Linked DNA regions of Arabidopsis thaliana. The protein of the gene in region 1 interacts with the protein of each later gene in a pairwise test. Each region holds a gene or a part of one and is shown on either strand. Other genes may lie near its edges.

Evidence for each region. The genes of interacting proteins can lie anywhere in the genome.
Region 2: the proteins of EMB506 (region 1) and AT3G07500 interact in a two-hybrid assay, tested with the Arabidopsis thaliana proteins (one large-scale study listed by BioGRID).
Region 3: the proteins of EMB506 (region 1) and AT3G48550 interact in a two-hybrid assay, tested with the Arabidopsis thaliana proteins (one large-scale study listed by BioGRID).

Annotation. Positions count from the first base shown.
Region 1 is NC_003076.8:16,061,549-16,066,644, forward strand, and holds EMB506 (Ankyrin repeat family protein), read right to left. Parts: upstream 3,142-5,096; 5' UTR 2,754-3,141; coding exon 2,384-2,753; intron 2,233-2,383; coding exon 2,153-2,232; intron 2,026-2,152; coding exon 1,927-2,025; intron 1,857-1,926; coding exon 1,758-1,856; intron 1,675-1,757; coding exon 1,576-1,674; intron 1,489-1,575; coding exon 1,390-1,488; coding exon of another isoform or gene 1,354-1,389; intron 1,280-1,353; coding exon 1,178-1,279; 3' UTR 931-1,177; downstream 1-930. Other genes in the region: AT5G40155 (Defensin-like (DEFL) family protein), read left to right, coding at 408-483, 628-797; RLP54 (receptor like protein 54), read right to left, coding at 3,631-5,096. UniProt on the Arabidopsis thaliana protein: Involved in the initial differentiation of the proplastid during the embryo development. Also required for correct cotyledon, true leaf and cauline leaf margin development.
Region 2 is NC_003074.8:2,390,370-2,394,761, forward strand, and holds AT3G07500 (Far-red impaired responsive (FAR1) family protein), read left to right. Parts: upstream 1-1,846; 5' UTR 1,847-2,017; coding exon 2,018-2,018; intron 2,019-2,563; coding exon 2,564-3,015; intron 3,016-3,139; coding exon 3,140-3,340; 3' UTR 3,341-3,409; downstream 3,410-4,392. Other genes in the region: AGD11 (ARF-GAP domain 11), read left to right, coding at 820-1,281; AT3G07510 (maternal effect embryo arrest protein), read right to left, coding at 3,526-4,117, 4,199-4,206.
Region 3 is NC_003074.8:17,991,804-17,995,762, reverse strand, and holds AT3G48550 (SHOOT GRAVITROPISM-like protein), read right to left. Parts: upstream 1,945-3,959; 5' UTR 1,716-1,944; coding exon 1,369-1,715; intron 1,298-1,368; coding exon 1,168-1,297; 3' UTR 984-1,167; downstream 1-983. Other genes in the region: AT3G48540 (Cytidine/deoxycytidylate deaminase family protein), read left to right, coding at 3,748-3,938.

The DNA of each region.
Region 1 (5,096 bases):
CAACAAATTTAAATTTTTTAGTGTTTCAGAAAACCTTGGCCCAAAAAAAAAATAAATAATAAAGTGTTTCAGAAAACCAAACCATGTTCTTCTACTTTAATCACTTTTATCTACTTAGATTACAATCAAACAAGTTTCAGTTGATGATATATCTCACAACAAGCGTGTTTAATTAGTTGTTTTTAATTTTTAGACGAAATCTCCCTTAAAATAATTGTTTCTAGATTCAGCCATTTTCAGTAAAACCAGTTTTTAAAAGATATAGCTGTGATAACTATTTTTAGTTAATGATATATCTCAAAAGTCACAATATATATGGAAAAGTGAAACAAAAAAAAAACCTATAAAACCATAATCTCTCAGTTGATTAAAAACACCATTATCTCTCAAGTCTTAATACGAAAACAATGGAATCCAAGAGATCATCATCTTCTCCTCTACTAATTTTGATTACCACCATCATGATCATATTCATCATTTCTGGTTAGTCCTCGTCGTTTTTCAATAACAAATTGATAATCATGTTTATATTTGACATAGTTTTTTTTTTAATCCGAATCTGTTTTAGATTGGCCAAGACTACTCACATGCATATATTTCTTCAAACTAACGCTTCTGTCTTTGCAGGACCTAAATCTGTCGATGCAGATTGCAAACACCCGGTTGGACCGTACACGGACTCATGCTTTACGGATTGCGTATCTGGAAAATATGGATATAATTATGAATCCGCTTTTTGTAGCCGTGACGAGACCGGAACTTGTAAAATATGTTGCTGCGAACTTATCAACGAATAGGTGCATATGCATTTGCATGTTTCAATGTATGGTTGGTAACAAAAAAAAAAAGATGTGGAGAAAGAGAACAAATTATATACTTGTCTTCCCTATTTTAAAGGCAATGCATAACCCTTAAAATTATTATTTACTTGCACAATCTTGCAATGCTTGTAATTTAATATATATGACATAACAATGTGTATCTTTGTTATGCACATTATGATACACACACCCGAATAACAAGTTCATCCACGAATATATAAAAGCAGTAATTACAAACTCAATCGGGTTTCTTCTACCTTAACCACTTATACCGGTGTAGATTACAATCAAACCAAGCAATGGCAAATGCAGTTTAGTAATCTCAACCTGATCATTCAAAATCTCACCAGCTCTTTCTATATATCCCCGGTGGGCATAATCTTCAATAGCTTGACCAGATCATATGACTTGAAATCTCTTCCAAAGCACAGAGCCAAGTCCAAAGCTAATTTCCCATCCTGAAAAGACAGCAAGAAACCAAAACCAAATTGATCTGTTATCGAACAAAAACAAACTAACTATTCATATACTCTCAGTTTTTCTCTACACATATTTTCGCCATTAACACCTTTGTTCGTCTTGTTTTATCAGCACCATTGGTCAACAATATCTTTGTAATGTCTCGATTTCGGCTTTGTACAGCTATATGTAACGGAGTCCATCCTTCCTGTAAAACAAAGAAAGTTTCATCGAATCAAAATCAGAAATTTTTTAATGGCTTGAGATAAGCTTTTAGTTGCTACTAAGTACTAACATTATCTGCAACATTGACGTCTACATTGTACTTGAATAGTAGTTTTACAGTCTGCAAGGCTCCAACTTGAACTGCATAATGAATCGGAGCTGCACCGTCCTGTATCTTTGAACAATCTGGTTAATAAAGTATGAACCTTTTCCAAATGGGTTCTACGTAAATGGAACCAGATAAGTTCTCACCCGATCTTGAAGATGCGGATTAGCTCCTTTCCTCAAAAGATGACTAATCACCGCTTCTTTTTTACCAATGATTGCTTTGTGAAGAGCGGTTTGGTTGTCCTGTTTTTGTAGATTCAGTCAGTGACATGATAAACAATAGAAACCAGATTTGGTATGTTTAAAAGCAAACCTTGTCAACATCATCAATGTCTAGTCCGTTTTCAATAAGATTATCCATTAACTGAATCTGCATTGACAGAGCAAGTGTCTGAAGTGGCTTCCAACTCTTCTGCAGATTCCATATTTACACAATAAGTATACAAACCAAGTGAATCAAAACCACTACACTCGTAGCAATATGATCACAGATTGATATGCATATAAGAGATACTGAAGAAAATCACATGAAAACTTACTGTTGAGATCATCTTGAGATTTGGTTTCTCATTTTGCTGAAGAATTACTCTTTCTTCAGGTTCAAGAAGTTGTTCAACCTCTGCAAATACTCAAGCCCATGTAAAGCAATGATACACATTCACACACAAAAGTACTAACTTTGAAACTATTCCAGTTCTTCATACTAAAAGAGTGATCTTTTACACACAATTCGGATAAAAATAGTAAAGTGAGAGACTTTAAAGAAGAACCTTTTGCAAGCTCTTCCTCGTAGTTGTCTGTAGTAGTAAGCTTTTGTACTCTCGAGTCATCTTCCCAATCACTCTCGTTATCTAAATCATTCCCAATACCATCTTCTTCTTCTCCTTCATATTCGTTTTCACTGTCGCTACCATCATCTGGATCTTCCCAGAATTCATGTTTGGATTGCACGGAAGGTGTTCGACGATTTGTCTCAGTGAAACTGCGAGTTCTGGCCGTGGATTGTCTCTTGACGGAGCTTCCTCGGACACTTGTGGAGAGACAGTACACGATTTTCGATTTGCAATTGACAGAATCAGAGATGGGTAATCGTGGAAGTAGACAAGTTTGTGGAGGGATGGATAAAACCGAAGAGACCATTGCAATTTAAAAGCTGTTCTGGCTTTTGCTTCAATTGGGCATATCTTTGGAAGTGTCATTCTGTTTCATATTAGGATGTTTATTTTGTTTCACAATATAAAATGTTATAAACAAAAAATAAAATAAAATCATTAAAACTATTTTAAATTTATATACTTTGTAACTACAGTAAATATTTTTATTGGCCAAACTCTATTTAACTAAATATTAAAATTATGTTTTTTTAATGTATATAAAAAAATTAGTTTTTTAAACTTTGTATTTTTAGCAAATACATCATAGATTTTCTTGTTTAGTATTAAATTATAATCCCAAAAATTATTTTTACTGGGATTTTATTTGTTTTAAACCTGTGTCATAGGAATTATTATATTATAATATTAAATAAACACTAAATAAACAGAAAATATATTTTTCTTTTACATTTTTTATAGTTAATTAAAAAGAATAAAAGATACACAAATCTCAGCAAATATAGTGGGTTTTAAGAAATAGCTTGCTAAATGAAATAATATCACTCTTGTTGGAACTTAATAATCTATAATATTAATAATTAACGAATCTAAAAAAAACTATAAAATATAATATATATATATTTTTTTATATGTGCTCAAGCTAATAATATAACAAGTACTTTACAAAATAACAGAGTACATTAGTCTTGAAATAGAAAGAGTAGTTCAAAGTGTGTATACTAAACAAGCAAGCATTTGAGCAACATTTAAAGTTTACAAAGTCTGTCTAATACGAAACAGATTAACCAGAAAATCAAAGCTGTGTTGTTAGTTTATCGTCAAAGCCCAAAAAGCAAAGAGTAGTAAACTGATTATTTTACATATGATTCAACACCAAAATGAAGAAGAAGAAACAATACATCTCAAAGTCGAAACAACTTATAGAACAAGACCGGTTTGTATCGAGCAAAGGCTTGTCCGATCGCCAGTCCAAACAACACTCCGGGTCCATAGCCTATCGCAGCTGCTTTCCAGTTCAACGCATGTTCTTGCTTTGGTAGTTCTTGCTCTTGTGTATGTGGTGTTGATGGTACTCCATTTCCCCTTAAACAACTCTCTTGAAGAGGAAGACCACAAAGATTGATATTCCCTTCAAAGGAGGATTTAGGTTGCCCTCCAACCTGTGTACTCTGTGGTATTTGGCCGGTGAGTCTGTTATGTGACATGTTAACATATCCCAAAAACGTCAGCTCTCTTAGCTCTTGAGGTATATTTCCAGAGATTCGGTTTTGAGATAGATCCAATGACTCGAGTTGTTTAAGTTTGGCCAACGACGATGGAATACGACCAGTGAAAGAGTTGTTAGATAAGTCCAGAACAATCAACGATTTCAAATCACCTATTGATTCTGGAATCTGTCCTTCAAAACTATTTCCTGAGAAATCTATCGACGTGTATGTATCTGGAATCTTTCCCAACTCTATGCTTCGTCCTTTTATTCTCAAATGAATGGAAGGATAAGACCAAAGCGGGGTCTCATATTTAGAGTGTTCATCTCCTGTGTACTCTGGCCAACGATATCCTTGTGGGGTATTAACCAAAGGTGCACTCCAATTCGCAAAGTAGTTTTGCGGTAGGCTCCCGTTGAAGCTGTTACGGGAAATATCAATTATCCGCAGTGCCGTAAATGAAAGAGAGACCTCAGGAGAAGAAATGGGACCGTGGAATCTGTTTGATCTCAGAACAATGATTTCAAGACGCGTCAAAGCCTTCAGCCAGAAAGGGAAAGTGTCGTTGATGTGGTTTCCTTCCACATTTAGAAACTTTAGGGTTGTGCAGTTTACTAGAGACCTTGGAAGCTTCCCACTTATTTGGTTGTGGCCAACGTCAAGTAGTACTAAGCGGTCTTCTATGTCCGGAAGTCTCCCAGTGAGGCTGTTGTTACTGAGTTTCAACGCTTCTAGTCCGAGTGACACATTTGTCAAGCATCTCGGAATTGTCCCACTGAAGTTGTTGTTTGATAGATCAAGGAGACTGAGTCGATATCTTTTGCAGAATATAAGTGGTATGCCTCCAGTGAAATAGTTATTTGATGCAGCCATGATGTTGACATAAGGTGGAATAATAGGAAAAGATCCTTTGAAGGCATTTGAACTCAAATCTAACTCCGAAATCGACGAATTGAGGATTATTTTTGGCGTACCTTCCAAGGAATCAAAGGAGTTGCGTGAGAGATTTACATGGAGCATAGAAGGCAGAGTCCATAACAACTCAGGCACTTTTCCTTTAATTCTATTATTGGAAATGTCTAACCACCATAATCTTTGTAAGTCCTTAATAAACATCGGGAACTCGGTGATGTTGCAGCTCGACAAGTCTAGATGTGTCA
Region 2 (4,392 bases), on another chromosome or scaffold:
CGAATAGTTTTCTAATTCTTACTCGTTTTTCAAAATCCGAAACCAAAGCAAACTGAAAAATGGATGCTCATCTCTATCTACCTGAAAACGTCGATATCAAAATCAATTTCTGCTTGTGGTGCACTTAACACAATAATCATTACTCTCAGTCTTATAAGGATGTGCAATACAACATAATTTAAACCTGTTAACAGACTATCAATCTGTTAAGAAGTGATTAAGACCTTGACTATTTTAAAGGCTATCTCTTTTATTTTAATTTTATTATTGTTCAAGTTGTCTCTTCTATTTTCGAAACATCGCCATGTTCAAATCGACAAAAAAAGAAGTGTATAGAACAAATCCACTTAGAATAAGTTACATCTTATGTAGATAAAATAAATAAATAAGTTTTGTAGAAAATTAACCAAACATATACAAACAGACGATAAGCATTTGAATTGAATTATATTTGTCTATACCATAAATTGAGTCTCAAAAGATTTAACCTGAAATAACTATCCTAACGGAAAACTGTTTTGAAGATGACAAAATACGAGATAATGTGTAGATTCCGTGTGTATCTCTATTGATAGACTTTAGTTTTTGTGTATTCTTGAAGGACATAAACCTATTTTAAGACCAGTTCAACAGAAAACTGGTGCAGACCACGATCACAGTTGTAATGAGTTTTCTAAAATGGTAACCACTCCTTTTCCTTTAAGAAGCAGTCCTTCTTGTCTCCTGCCCTAATTCTCTTCTTCTCTATAAACCCATATTCTAGTTTTGTTCTCATTCATTCTCTGTTCAAAGCTCATAAATAATAAACTCCAATTAAGAATGGATCAAGCGGAGCTTGCCAGGATCTTCCAAATGTTCGACAGGAACGGTGATGGCAAAATCACGAAGCAAGAGCTGAATGATTCATTGGAGAATCTAGGAATCTACATTCCAGACAAAGACTTGGTGCAGATGATCGAGAAGATTGATCTCAACGGTGATGGGTACGTGGACATCGAAGAGTTTGGAGGGTTGTACCAGACGATAATGGAGGAAAGAGACGAGGAGGAAGACATGAGAGAGGCTTTCAACGTGTTTGATCAGAACCGGGACGGGTTCATCACGGTGGAAGAGCTAAGGTCTGTGTTAGCTTCCTTGGGGCTCAAACAAGGAAGAACCCTAGAGGATTGCAAGAGGATGATAAGCAAAGTTGACGTTGATGGAGATGGCATGGTGAATTTCAAAGAGTTTAAACAAATGATGAAAGGTGGTGGATTTGCCGCCTTAGGATCAAACTTGTAAAAAAAAAACTCATTTTTCGGGTTCGGGTTTGAGACCCAAAATCATTGGGTATTTTTTTCTTCGGAATGATTATTAGGGCAAAACCTTGAAAGCGATGATGAATGGATTTGCAAAAGAAAAAAGCTCAACAAACTTTGTGAGCTTTGTTTTGAATGCTCCTACAAAAATGTTGTTGATGAATTTGCTTTTCGGATTTTGAAACATAACCATGCGAATCTACGGGAACACTTGATGATTCTTTTATTATTTATATATTTGGGTGTTGCACTTAAAAAGTTATCACTATCTAGCTTATAATCATAAAATGATGAAAATATATTTGTATTTGTAAATTACAAAGATTAAACACAAACAAACAATCGAATTTCTACCCAAAAAAACAAACAAACAATCGAATTTATGTCTTTAAAGTGAAGATTTAGGTCAAAGTAATGGAAAAAAGTGTCTCATGGAATATGTTAGTCAGGCGGTCAAAGTAAAAAGTAAAAAGAGAAAAAACTATAAACTACATGATGTTTAACTCTTCAAGTGACGTCAAGACATAAACTACGTGCCGTTTCGCACTATTCGTAATCCAACGGGCGAGACTGGAATGAATTTATGACCAGATCTTGGTTTTTTCTTGTCGTCTTCTTCACCGCTTACCAGTTACTAACTTGAGCTTCAGAGATCATCATCATCATCACTTCCTCTCTCTGAAGAAAACACAATTTGGAGTTTTCTAATCTTCATTCCAAGTGAGTACTTCAATCGAATCCCTTTTCTACTATTCAATAATTCAATCTATTATTCAAATTCTCGTCTATCTGTTTCGATGATTTTGAGGTTTTCGCTCCCTTTTGTTATCAAATTATGGAATCTGATTCCCAATTTCGCGTTTGTATGTACTCGATTTTCTCTTTTTTCTTGCATGATTACACTTTGGTGAAGTTCAGAATTCGAGTAATATCACTTGAAATTGCTACTCTCTGCCTATTCATTAGGGTTTATGAATACATAGTTTAGGGTTTATGTTTCCATTAGTCACTTCTTGAGGACCTGCTTATCTTCGAGCCATTGTGTATTTGATAAACTTTGGAAGAAGTGTCCACTATATCTAGCGTAGGACTGAATGTAGTAGATTAGAACTGCTAAGAGTTGGTTAGAGAAAGGGGTGGGTAATTTATAAGGATTTTCTAGGGTTTGGTTAGGTATTCGGTAGAGAGTTTCTGGTTTGGTGAACAAGACATAGCTTTGCATCATTTGTTTTGAGTTGAGATGTTTGTGTGTTGTGTTGTGGCAGTGGAAGGGAACTCTTTACCCGAAGAAGATGTAGAGATGATGGAGAATTCAGATGTAATGAAGACAGTCACAGATGAAGCTTCTCCAATGGTGGAGCCGTTCATTGGTATGGAGTTTGAATCAGAAGAGGCTGCAAAGTCTTTCTATGACAATTACGCTACATGCATGGGTTTCGTTATGCGAGTGGATGCTTTCAGGAGGTCAATGCGAGATGGGACTGTGGTGTGGCGCAGACTCGTGTGTAATAAAGAAGGATTTCGTAGGTCGAGACCTCGGAGAAGCGAGAGTAGAAAGCCTCGGGCTATAACAAGAGAAGGGTGTAAAGCTCTGATTGTTGTGAAAAGAGAGAAATCCGGAACATGGCTTGTTACTAAATTTGAGAAAGAGCATAATCATCCTCTCTTGCCTCTCTCCCCTAATGTTCGCCGGAATTTTCAGCTCCCTCAAACACCGGTACGTCTACGCACTTTTCCTTGGGGTAAAAGTAAAACAGTGATTATTGGCATTGATCTAAGAGTTACCAAGAACATAAAGCTCAAAAAATGATATCGAAATCTTGTACAAATGAACTTTTCAGGACGAGAAAGACGCAAAGATTAGGGAGCTGAGTGCAGAGCTGAGCCGAGAGAGAAGGCGTTGTACTGCTTTGCAACAGCAGCTTGATATGGTCCTTAAGGAGATGGAAGAACATTCCAACCATCTCACCATTAACATCAATAGTGTTATCCAAAGTGTTAGAGACATTGAGTCCAATACTTTCACCAAACAACAAACATAATGCTTCATTTCTGTTCATAAAAGCTTAACATCAAATTCTCATAATCCAATGTTCTGTATCTTGTGATTGATTCTTCATTCTCCGAAACAAAAAAACAAAAAACTAGATTGGAAGGCATTGATGATGAAATTACACATTGGCTAATCAAAACAAAGCCATGGACATTATCCAATTTTGACATAGCATCAATGCCAGAAAGCGTAAATGGCGGTAGAGATGTAAATCAGCAGAGCAGAGGAAACCAGAGTGACGAGCGTTGCAACAGCTTGAGCCGCCGATTTGCTGCCGCAAGAGAGCAAACCAAGACGGATCTGAATCACATTAACCATAGAGAGCATCAAGAAGAGACAGCCCATTACAGATCCGACAGCAGAAGCCATCATTCCCCATCTCAAAACCTTGATATTGATGTGAGCTCTGAAAATCTCGTTGACGTCTTTGCTATTAAGAAGGTTTAAGGCAAGCTTAAGACCCTGAGCTACAAGAGAGGAGAAGAGGAAGAAGCTGAAGGAGACGACTTCGAAGACCAGTAGCTTCTTGGCGACGTCAGCACTTGCGTCGCAGCTGGATCGTTGTTCGAGGCTGTGTTGTCCTGGAGTCGCTAAGGAAAGACCAACGAAGACGGCGATGGTGAAGAGAGAGTTCACGTTCACGAGTCCGTCGAGAGCGCTTACGTGGACACTTGTGGTGGCGAGGGAGGATGTTGAAGACGCCTCTGGTGACGTCATTCTCACGCCGTTCTCAGCGCCGGTCATGTAGTTAACCTTCGGCTCAGATCTGCTCGGAAAGGGAAAAAAAGAAACGCAATGGTTAAAAAAAAGATAGATTGATTTTAGGGAAGAGAGAGGGTTTGCTTACTCATACATGAGGGAATCTATTTAAGCAATGAGTTTAGCTTTCCGTCGGGGCTTAGCTTGAAGAAAGAGATGGATTGTCTTAAAGAGAGAGCTTGTCGGAAACACTCTCTCTCTCCCTATCTTTGTACAAACCAGCTTCTTTGAGGCATTTCTTTTCCACGTCACATTAAGTTGTTGACTTTTTCCGATTTTTCT
Region 3 (3,959 bases), on another chromosome or scaffold:
AAAATTAATCTGTTCGAAAACGTATATTCAGTTCCAAATACTAAAGATGGGCATAGAAATGACAAAGTGGATTACAATGTGCTTTTGATATATATTCTCAAAATGTTTACATATATTCTATATATTGTCATAATCGTTAATATAGTTCATATGTATGTATCATTTTATAGAGAATATGACGACCAACCGAATAGATCAGCCGAGTTGATTTACGTATTTAGGGTATGATCGTAAACTCGGCATTTTTTAGGATTTAAATTTGAACATATTATCTGTAGTACACGATTGATTTAAACCATAGTCTACGAAGTACATAATTAAAATTAATCCTCTCTCTTATCAAAAATATTCATACATTTATCAAGTTTCTGTAAGTAAATGTACGTATATGCACAAACACAAAATAATAGTACACACATATATACTATTTAAAGCGACCTAAGAGATTAAAGTAGATGAAATAAGCATGTTAATGCAATAATTATACCCATCATCTCCATGCATATGTCTTTACGTGTGTTTGATTATTTGTTTTCAGAATAATCATCAATTTTCATTGAACGAACGTTTTCAAAGATGATTACAACAAATCAAATGAATCACATATGGGTCAGCCAATTATATTCAAATCATGCAATCCGTCCATTCTCTTTTTTATTTTCCACGTTCCTCGATTGTGAATGTCACTCCATCTCTTGTTACTTTAACATCAAGCATTTAACTAACTAATCACTGTAATTACTAATTAGGTTTTGTTCTGTTGGTTAATAAATGTCATAGTTAGATTTTAATACTCCATATAGTATATAATAGCTGATCGTTGAGGAATTGACATAGCTAATGTTGACAACGTAACTAATGAATTTTATCCCTAATTCCCAAGTAATTCACTAAATGGTATTCATGATTTTTTTTTTTTTTTTTTTTGGTTGGCAAAGAAGAGGAAGTAAAGTAGCTGGAAACATAAATCATCTCTTATCTGAGCATATTGTTTTCCTTCGATTTCAAGAAAATAAAAAGGAAGGACTATATAATATTACCAAACTCGAAAATGAAAACAAATTAAATTTAACTACAAAATAAAATTTAAATTAAACCAACATTCTCTTTCTCTTCAAATATCCATTTATAATAACAATAATTAAGAGAAACAAATAAATACTTATGTTATGGCCTAAACCTTTGTCTGCAAGAGTGGCAAGTGATCTCCAAGCAAGCCGTATCGATCTTCGTCATTGATCTCTCCTTCAATCTCTCAGCTCTCTCCACTTCTTCCCTTGCCTTCTGCCACATCACCCTGGTTACAATTCAAAACCGTTAACCAAACCAAAACCAGAATTATTACTTGATCGAGCTAGCTTTAACTACCTTGCACGAGCAAACTCAGACTGAGCCATCTCCATCTCACGGCGAGTCAACTCTCTAACCCTCTCGGCGTAAGCCTTCTCTATAGCCGCAAGCCTTATCTGCTCCGCGGCTTGCCACTTCAACGCCTCCACACCACCGTTTGGAAGCTCCTCCGCTGTTGAGATCGAGCTGAGGCTGATGGAGAGTTTGAGGTCAAGATCGTGGTGGATCATGGAGGAGGAACGGTGGTGATTGTTGTGATGGTCGGTTGTTATAACTGTTGGTCGGTGTTTCCTTACCGGAGATTCGGTAGACGGTGGAGAAGGTAAAAGCTGAAGCTCTTTGTGATGATCTTGTTGTTCAGCCATTTTTGTATTCTTGTTTGTTTTTTTTGGCTAAAAGGCTGCACTTCTCAATAAGTGTGGGGATGGCAATTACCAATCACTTTATATGTAAGCTGCTTCGTGTCTGTGCACATATACTATCTACTTGAAATTACACTTATAACCCCTTATTCGAATATGCATATCTTTTTGGGTTATTTGATCATTGGGTTTTTATATAATCCTCAAAGTTAACAAACGACCACCGTACCGCCATTATGTGAATTTGTTGTCAAGTGTGGTTCCATGATAAGACGAAATGATGTGATTGTACAACAATCAACTAAAGTTAAAAATAGGTTAGATATATAAGATTTTTTAAGTTTTGTCGAGTTACAAAATAAATAGTCACCAATAACCAAATTTTTAGAATGTTTTATAATGATGAACATGTTATTTGCGTTTATGTCGAAATAATATAAACATGTAAACGCAAACGTGATTAATGTTGTTTTTTACGTTAAAGCTACTATATATTATGACATAACTTGCAATTGCAAAATTTCATTGTTTTTTTTTTTTCCAAAACATAAGAGGAGCATACTTGTAAAGTGAAAATAATGGAGGGTAGGTTAGTAAAACGAAGATAGAAATAGGAAGAAAAAAAATAGTTAAGGTGTAGAGAAAATCTCCGTTGAAGAAAAGACAGAGAAGATGGGATATAAACGGATCACGTTATTGAAGCATGAGAGGCTTTTTAAAGAAACCCTTTTCACTTTTTCATCATCTATCTCATTTTATATGTTTTTGTAACTAATAACTTTGCGATTGTATATTTGTTAATTAACGTATCCTTTTAAAAAAATGAAAATGTGGATGTGGGTTGTGTAATAATTGGTGATGCACGTGGCTTAATGGATTCAAAAGCTAGCAACTAGCTCACTTACTATGTGCTTAGTCCGTATATATTAGTAATTTAATCAAATTCTTCTCATATAACAGTTTATATTTTATTTATATATGTGATTTAAATAGTTGAAAGATTATAACAGATTTATAGGATTGAGAATTCGGAAACTAGGGTTTGAGTCTTTCCGCTGCAATCTCAATTACATTAATTAGTATAGACGCTCTAAATGACAAAAAAAAACAAAATTCCACAGGTTTAATAGCTAATCTGAATTGTGTTGTGATCTACGATTGCCTGGTCGTTATGTTTTAAATACATTTTGTTATTTATAGATAAAAATGTACGTAATGCTTTCAATGTTTTTTTTTTAAAGTTATTAACTTGTTTCATGTGTTTCATAGTTTCATGTACGTTTCCAATTATTTGTTATTTTTCAAACTTTGTTCGTTTCCACTTTATGTTTTCTTAATCTATCCAGTTCATATTACATTACATTAGACAAAAGAAAACTAAATAGCGAAATAAAACTAAAACTTATATAGGTATACACAACCGTGCCTACCAATAAAAAAGTCAGAGACGGTATCTTAAAAGCGCAAAATAAGAATATAGAACTATAGTTATAAAAAAAAATTTTGAAAGGTAATGTCAATTTTTTCACAAGATCATTAACCAAAATTTCAAAATCAATCTTTTATAACCTTTTTGTGAATTGAAAAGATTGTCAAAACATCAACGATACAAAAAAGTTTAAATCCATAGTTAATAGAAATATAGAAGAGATGGTTGAGATATCAAATCTGGACCGGTATAGTTTTTTTTATCCAAAAAATATATTGGTAGCACTCAATACTAAAAAAAATAAAAAAAAATAACAAATAATAAAATAAATGATTCAATAACACATAATTTTTGAAAAAAATGAAATTAACCAAAATCTGTTAATTGCCATAATTTTCTGCTGAGAAGAGAAAGCACAATCAGTAAACCAATCTAGTTATTAACCGAAACCTAAACCAACAATCATATGAACCGAATGATAGACCTGCCTTAACCGGAATGGCGGGGATTTTCACTCTCTTATAGTTTCCCGCTACATTTAATAGTGAAGAGAGAAGAGCAAAGATTTTTCTGGATAAATCTGTTTTATCGATTTTGAAGCTCCCCATGAACTCTCGAGATCTTACACTCGTCTCTACATCTGCAATCTTCGGTGCTTTGATTTCAGCTCTAGCATTTCGCTTCTTCTCATCAAACCCTAAAAACCCCAAATCCCGAAAATTCACTTCCACCGAAATCTCTGCAATTTCCAGAAAATTCCCTGCTCTAGATCCTTTCAGTCCTTTGAAACGAAATGGGTTTGTCATAATTCCATTCAA